Linked DNA regions of Caenorhabditis elegans. The protein of the gene in region 2 interacts with the protein of the main gene of each other region in a pairwise test. Each region holds a gene or a part of one and is shown on either strand. Other genes may lie near its edges.

Region 1 (3,929 bases), on a different chromosome or scaffold from region 2:
ACAGTTCTTCTTGAAAATCGCTACGGCCGCTTGAAAATTTTGTTGCAGAGCTTCCATGTATTCGCCGAGCAATTGACAGGATTCTGGCCTTTTTTCCTGAAAATTTAACTTCAAAGAAAGATTGAAAATTCAAATTTCTCACTTCGTAGCATCCAAATCTGTACTCAATCCCAATATTTTTCACATATTCCGCCCTTTCGGCCTGTTCCTGCATAGCTTCTTCGCTTATTTTTCCAGACATCTTCAAGTAAAGTGAATTAGCGCATATTCAGAAGAAATGAACGACCGATATTGGAGTACGAAATCGTGATGACTCATTGGGTAAAGTTTGATAAATCGAAACGAAGAATCATTAAAACATTTGACTTTCATTTGAAAATGTTGGATGACAAAAGGGAATTACAATACCGAAATTATGTCACACAAAATTCGCTGAACGCGACGAGAATTTCAACGAAGTGCCTACCAGTAGCGGGTGACAATCAGCACATGGAACTGAATGTGTTATTATCTTAAATATATAGACAAAGGGCAATCGAGAAGGCGATGAATACACATTCTTGGAAGAAGTGTTAATAAAAAAATTAGGCTGATAGGAGCAAGAATATAAGCTTTACGGAAATGGGGGAGAGAGAATAAATTAATTTCTGTTGCAATTTCCAGTGACGGTGATCAGAAGTTATTGGCATGGGTAAGATAATTATTCCTCATCCTGAAATAATTAAAAATTAAACTTCTAATTATCTACGTATGGAAATAAACTCACGAGGTTGCTGAAAATAAAGTTGATAGCGGCTTCCTCGTTTTTGTCACATGCGAAATAAGCCTCCACAACCACAGCTTCTGGTGCATTAACAACTATGGCTTTGATTCTCTCAATAGCAGCAGCTTCTTCGGGACTGAGATGGATAACATGGCGACGTGGGGTGTTTCTTTCTGGCGCATTTCCTGCAGCGGCTCCGGCTCCTTGAGCTCCACCATTCAAAAGATCCATGAAAGCTTGCTGGTTGTTCTGAATAGTCTGAACAAGTCTTGGGTTGACAGCAGCCAACTGCTGAAGGACTGCGGCGAGCATTTCAGGATTTTGTTGAATCAAAGCTCTAATTTCTGCAAGCTGTGGCATGTTTGCAAGCATGTTAAGATCGTCATTGCCATCCTCATCCACGTTATCGATGTTTTGCTCGGGCCCCAAATCTGGTTCTTGGTCAGCAGCATCATCAGGAAGTCCGTTGAGAAGAAACTCGACTGCGCGGTCTGGATTCCAGAATGCTGCGCGCAGAGCAGCGATAGTTTGTTCACGGTCATAGCCCATTCCAGTGATTGCGAGAACGTTCTCTTCTTGCTCATCCGTAAGCGCCTCCGCCTCAGCAGGAGCAGCAGCTTCAGGAGCAACATCGGCAGCTGGGGCTGGGTTTGACGCAGGAGCGGCAGCTACTGGAACAGGCTCAGCAGCTGTGGCAACGGTAGATGAAGGTGCAACTTCTGTGACTTTCCTTTTGCTGAGCATCACAACAACGAACTTCGAAGAATCGAATCCGACTTCTCCGACCTTCACAGAATCGTCGAGAATCTAAAAAAAAAACATACTTTAAAGATATTATGAGCCTTCACTGTAATACCTTTCCGTTGTAGATTAATTTTTGAAGTTCTGGAGCATAATCATCCCCTTTCTCCGAAGCGACCAGAGCCTTTACTTCCGCAATCTGAAAGAAAAATAAAATACAAGTCGAACATTAACTCTAATCTTACCGTCTGATCTTCATTCAATTCCAAATTGAAGTTAACTTGTGTGAGAGTCCTGAATGTAACGGACAAAACCATCCTGCAAAAAATTGTGAAATGTTACGAATAGAGTCATGTATTGAAAGAAAAAGAAATAAATATCGATAACAGATTGATATTAATGCAAAACAAGCAGTATATATGTATAAAATAAACAAACATTTGATTATTAATAAAAGAACAAAACAAAAAAACCATTTTGAAGAACAAAATAAGTGGTAAAAAACAGAAGAGAAAATGGCTTGGCGTCTTAAAGGCGCACATGATTTGAACACTCTTCGTGGCGAGACCTGCCAGAATTGTCATTGTGTCGATTTACGGAGAATGCGTTTATTTCTTTTTTGAATGTTTTATTTTTATTTTTTAACTTCACTTGTGTTTATCGTGAACTTTTATCTTCGATTTTATCAAATTAAAACATTATTGGATTTAAGAAAATGTCTGCCGCCCATAAAAATCTTCTGGCTGTGTGGGCAAAGGAGCCAAAAGATCTTGTCGCAGTTGAGAAGGCTCTGAATGAGTTGACGGTCAGTTAATTGTTTGTCAAATTGTAAATAAATTGAATTTTCAGAAGGTTCTCAGTGCCTCCAGCGATTTGAATGATAAACAGTCTGCATTGGCTTCAAAGTAAGATTTTTCTTTGGTGTAATGAGTTTAAATTATTAATTTTCAGAGATTTGTACGAGATTTCGGTGCTCTTGGCAATTCTGAAGCACGATTTCGAAACGTTCGACGATTACATCAATCAGGTGAGTCTTTAAATAATTATTTGGAAAATTTATGTAATTTTTAACGATCTGTAAATTATTTTTAATTTTCCAGATGCATACCTACTATACAATGGCGCCAGAAAATTCTGAAAACAAGCATTTAATGACTGGACTCCATCTGATGTTCCTGCTCGCTGCCAACAGATTGTCCGACTTCCACATGCTCCTCGAACAAATTCCACAGAAAGAGCAAACATCAAACGCTTACATCTCTACGCCAGTTCGTATTGAACAGAGTCTCATGGAAGGAGCCTACAACAAGGTTGTGCTCACCGAGAAGAATATTCCAAGCCCCTTCTACACTATTTTCATTCGTATTATGCTTGACACCATCCGTCGCGAAATCGCAACATCTATCGAGAAGTCTTTCAAAGTTCTGACAGCGAAGGATGCCACGGTCATGCTTCTGTTCGACAATGACGAACAAATGAAAAAGTTTGGACAAGAGGTAATAATGATTTTTAAAGCTACAAGTATTAAAAAATATATTTATTTACAGAGAAAATGGCATTTGGATGGAGAGCGTTACGTTTTCGAAATTGAGGTGGCTCAGGAGAAGCCTGTGAATTTGGATACAGTGCGAGTCGCAACTCAAACCCTCTTCTACGCCAAGCAACTCGAACAAATCGTTTAACCGGTGTCTTTCAAGAACTCAAGCATTGTATTTGTAAACTGATTTTAATTTATTCGCGTCTTTTTCTCGGTACTGTAAGAAAATGAACTTTCCGATGCATTGTTTTAGCAAGTTTTAATTACATCTGAAAATTTTATTTGCACAAAGATTTCTGGAATGAACAAGAACATCTATCAATATGATATACCAAAAAAAGAAGTTGGAAAAATTCGAGAAAAAATACATAGAGGGACAAAATACAGTGAATTCGAGTGTCTATTGTTTTCAACAATATATACAGCTAGATGAGTAAAAAAAAAGGACGAAAGATTTAGTAGATTCTGAGAGACAGATAGATAAAGCGTGCCAACTTGGTTGACTCCTTTCCCGTATTTTCTGATTACCACACAACACAGCGTTTCGTTGGATTCATCGGAGATCCAGCTGGACATTTGAAAGCCTCGGCAAATTCTGGCTGATTTGTTAGAACCGTGTTCACTCTGAAAAAATTATAAATAATTGTTGCCAAAAAAGTTGAATGAACGATGATGTGTATTGCGTAACATATTTTTGAATATCTTGTAGCGAAAACTACATGTAAATAGTAAATCGTCTACTTATGGAAATAAACTCACGAGGTAAATCTTTAAATGACTACTGTAGTGGTTTCGATTGTTAAACGAAAAATAAATAAATTTCCGAGCCCGTAAATCGACACTACAGTAGCCCTCTAAAAAGTTACTGTAGTTTTCGCTACGAGATAT
Region 2 (3,746 bases):
TTGATGAGACAGTGAATTTTTCAGGAATAAGAATACAGTCGTATAGGATGTTGGTTTCCTTAATGAAAAAATTAATTCAAATTAATTTTTTATGTATTTACGCTCTCCAGGAGAGACAAAAGGAGAAAAGAAGAGAAGAATTAACGCTTTTCAGTAGAAATTTAGCCTCTTTACACTTGTTTTAGATTTTTGAAAAAAAATTCAGTCAAAGTTTTGGTTAATCATTTTCCAAAAAACATTTTTGGCAGGCTGCCAGTGTATGATAGATAAAAATTAAGGCGATGTTCTTTACTGCTATACGTAGCAGTTGAAATATATAGTTAGCACCGATTGGGGGACAATGTGAATGACCTCTTAGAATTGTTCCCACTGCAATACGTTTTATTGACTCTGTCGATCGAGTAGTGGGCCTATTGGTTATCTAGGTGCTCTTAAAAAACACCTGCAACAATAGGCAGATCAAAGTCGTTAGATATCGAAATGCACATGACGTTCTGCTTGTTTCGACATTTTCAGATACACAATAAAATACGGTTTAATTCATTTATTTATCTGGAAAGGGATTTCTAGAAAATTGAATTATTACAATGATGAGATGACATGAATGATCGATGGAGTTACAGGGAGATGGAAGAACTAGAAAACTACAAAAGGAAGTTGGTCTGACAGTCGATGAAGGGCGATGAGCAAGCTGTTGTGAACGTTCTTCAGAAATCACTTTTTCAGAACACTAGTTTCCTCTTCCTGAACTTGTCGTTGATCTCGAGCCATGAATCTGCCGATCATTTCATTCAACAATGCATTCGTCTGAAAGTTGACTTAATATTGAAAATGACAAGATCGCAAGAACTAACCTTCAGAAGATTTTCATTGTTTCTTGACAATCTTTGATATCCTTCACTAGTTGCTGTCATATGATCCAAAAGCTTTTGATTTTTAGATTCCAATCGTTTCATCGCCTGCTTTTGCTGTACACACTCTGTCATCAAATAATCTTTTTGAGATTCCATTGCTTTCATTTCTCGTGCACTTCGTCTAAGATCCCTCTTGCGGTTTTTCAATTCATCTTCAAGTCTTTCAATTTCCGAATGACATGCTTTTGTCTCTTCATTGTAGTCCAATTTATCCGAAACACTGTCTTCGATGATTTCCTTGAGCTCATCAATTTCTCTGGTAAATTTCAAAACCATTTGCTCCTTCTCGCTGTCCTTTTCATCAAAAAAAGCCAAAATCATCTTCTTTTCCTTGAACGATTCCTCGACCTGATTCTTCAAAAGCATGATCTCCAAAGTCAAGTCAAACTTTTCTTTTCCGAGCATTGACTCGAAAATGTTTCGTTGCTCCACGAGCTCATGCTTCAGAAATTCGTTTTCTGCTTTTAGTTGGGTCAGCTCCAAAGTGTTGGAGGAATTTTCGTAGACAGAGATTTTGGGATTCATCTGGAAACGAAACTTAATTTTGAAAAAAAACTATGTACGGTGAAGGACGAAATTCAAACAAAACAGGAGCAATTATCTTGGAGAATCGGGCCTTAGGCCTACCTTGGAGAAAAAACAGCTGTCCTTCTCAGACAATAATAAATATCTATAATTCCAGCGGGTTTCTAGGCGTTTCAACATTGTCTTACCGTACTCCCCTTTCCCAAAAGTCAGCTTTCTTTTGGGAAGTATTATCTTCCATTGTCTGCCTCCAGGTGCTAATTGTACTGTGTTATTTGTCTGAAATCGATGAGCTGACCTTGTATTGAGGAGCCATTTGAGCCAATTGGGCAATAGAAGGGCAATAGAAGAACCAATATCTTGTAAAAAAAAAGAGTATTGAGTGATAGTAAATTACTGGGATTAATACAATTTATAAAATGGAAAAACATCTGAAGGGGGAGTATCTCGAGCAAAATAAAAATTTAACTAATCAAAGGCATAAGTTATGTATTGTTTGTCCATAAATGACAATCAGTGACTTTTTTGGGGCTTCATGAACTTTTATATTTTGCTGGAAAATAAAAATTGAATCAGTTTTCAGTACGACATGGAACATCATCTTGAAAGAGACCTGTTGTGAAACAACGGGTAAGACCAAGTAGGCATTTTCGACAGTATGGAAGTCATACGATATTGTCCACAATCGAATACAATTGAAATAGGTAGATGTATATACTTTTTGATTAACTATGTGGTATCAAATTCAAGAGTTAGGTGAATTACATATAATATAAATATGAATAAATTTAAATAGTTGAATTTAAGACATGTCATAATGATATTCTCCTCGTGCCATCAGTTCTTATTTTAAACTATCATAAATTCTTTAATTTATACAGCTTCTGATAACAATTGAATAAAAAAATTGAATTTAGCAATTCAAAACGAATAACTTTGAATTCCATGCTACTGGTCTATCTCGATATACTCGAAGGTTTCAAACAGTTCATCCTCATTCTTCTCCATTTCACATAATTCAATCTTCTGATTTTTTATAGTTACGGATGCATTCGTTGTGATCTGAAATGAAACAATTGAATAGAGGAATTTGAAAATAAAAAATTTGCAACGAAGATGGAAGACGCCGTTGCTTACGATATCTCTTCCGTTCGACAAATTTCCAAAATTAGGCACTATAAAAGTTTCATGGCAAACTCCAGAATATCTATCGATAGAATTTCTATTTACAACAAAAACCAACTTACACTGTCAACCTCTTTCAATTTGATTTTATTTTTGCAAATGTCTGTCTTAACTTCTTGTAATTTATCCAAATTTTTCCCGATCTTTGCGATATTTTCATTGTTATATGTATCTTTTAAATTATTGTTTTCTTTGCGTAGAGCTTCATTTTCTTCTATAACCTTCTTGATTTCATTTCGATAAAATCTTGAAACTTTCATTTTTTCTTCAATACATTCATCACGATCTTTATGGATTACATCAAGAAGTCGTTGACTTTCCTCAGCTTCCGTTTCTTTTTCTTCCAACTGTGTCTTCAAAATTTCATTTTCAGTTTGAATTTTCTCAAAGTTGATTTGAAGATTCCGAATATATTGTTCAAGTTGTTCAATTTCACTTCTTAGCTCCTCAATGTGAAACATCTCTTCCTTAATATGATCCACGAGATTTTCGCAAGATTTACACTCGGAAGCCATGTCTGAAAAATGTTAAAGATTCTGTGTTATGCAAATAATGGGTTAAAAAGTGAGAAGCCGGAAAATTGCTTTTGAAAAGTTAAAAGAAAGTTGTATTTAAACTTTTGAAATCAGAAGAAAAGAAGACAAAATTAATCTTTGTTCCTAACAGAGACCATTAATGAGAAGAAATGAGCTCTCGGTGCCAAAAGGATTAATATGAGCAGATGTCGGGAGAAAATCAATTTTCTTGGAGTAAACCAAAAACAGTAATTATACTATTAGGTTTAGGGTCCCAGGTGTTCGAAGCTTTGCAATTAATATGTGCAAGGTACGAAAACAAAATCCTAGAATTGCTTAATTTAATCTACCTTATTTTATATTCAAGAACGCCTTTCAATTACCCTGAAACTATATTTTGCGCTATCATTAATTTCACTCCCCAACGCAAACAAATAGGGCGTTGGTGGGCATACACGTAGGCCTGAAGGTATCTAACATGCCTCTAAACACCAAAAAATTAATACTCCACAATAAAGAATGTTTTTATCAAAAAGTGAACGTGAATTCCATTCTCCACGAACCTCTTTTTTTTATCGAAGAGTATTCTTGTTCAATGCATTTATTC

What was found.
Region 1: the proteins of C17E4.2 (region 2) and rad-23 interact in a two-hybrid assay, tested with the Caenorhabditis elegans proteins (2 studies listed by BioGRID).

What each region holds. Positions count from the first base shown.
Region 1 is NC_003280.10:11,650,908-11,654,836, forward strand, and holds rad-23 (UV excision repair protein RAD23), read right to left. Parts: upstream 1,823-3,929; 5' UTR 1,822-1,822; coding exon 1,750-1,821; intron 1,704-1,749; coding exon 1,620-1,703; intron 1,571-1,619; coding exon 767-1,570; intron 713-766; coding exon 701-712; 3' UTR 355-700; downstream 1-354. Other genes in the region: coa-7 (Cytochrome c oxidase assembly factor 7 homolog), read right to left, coding at 1-96, 143-241; rpn-12 (26S proteasome non-ATPase regulatory subunit 8), read left to right, coding at 2,220-2,309, 2,354-2,409, 2,456-2,531, 2,605-3,000, 3,052-3,186; nep-1 (Neprilysin-1), read right to left, coding at 3,566-3,665.
Region 2 is NC_003279.8:9,410,007-9,413,752, reverse strand, and holds C17E4.2 (Cilia- and flagella-associated protein 157), read right to left. Parts: upstream 1,448-3,746; 5' UTR 1,440-1,447; coding exon 855-1,439; intron 808-854; coding exon 715-807; 3' UTR 531-714; downstream 1-530. Other genes in the region: C17E4.19 (uncharacterized protein), read right to left, coding at 2,388-2,501, 2,687-3,139; C17E4.1 (DUF7774 domain-containing protein), read left to right, coding at 3,659-3,746.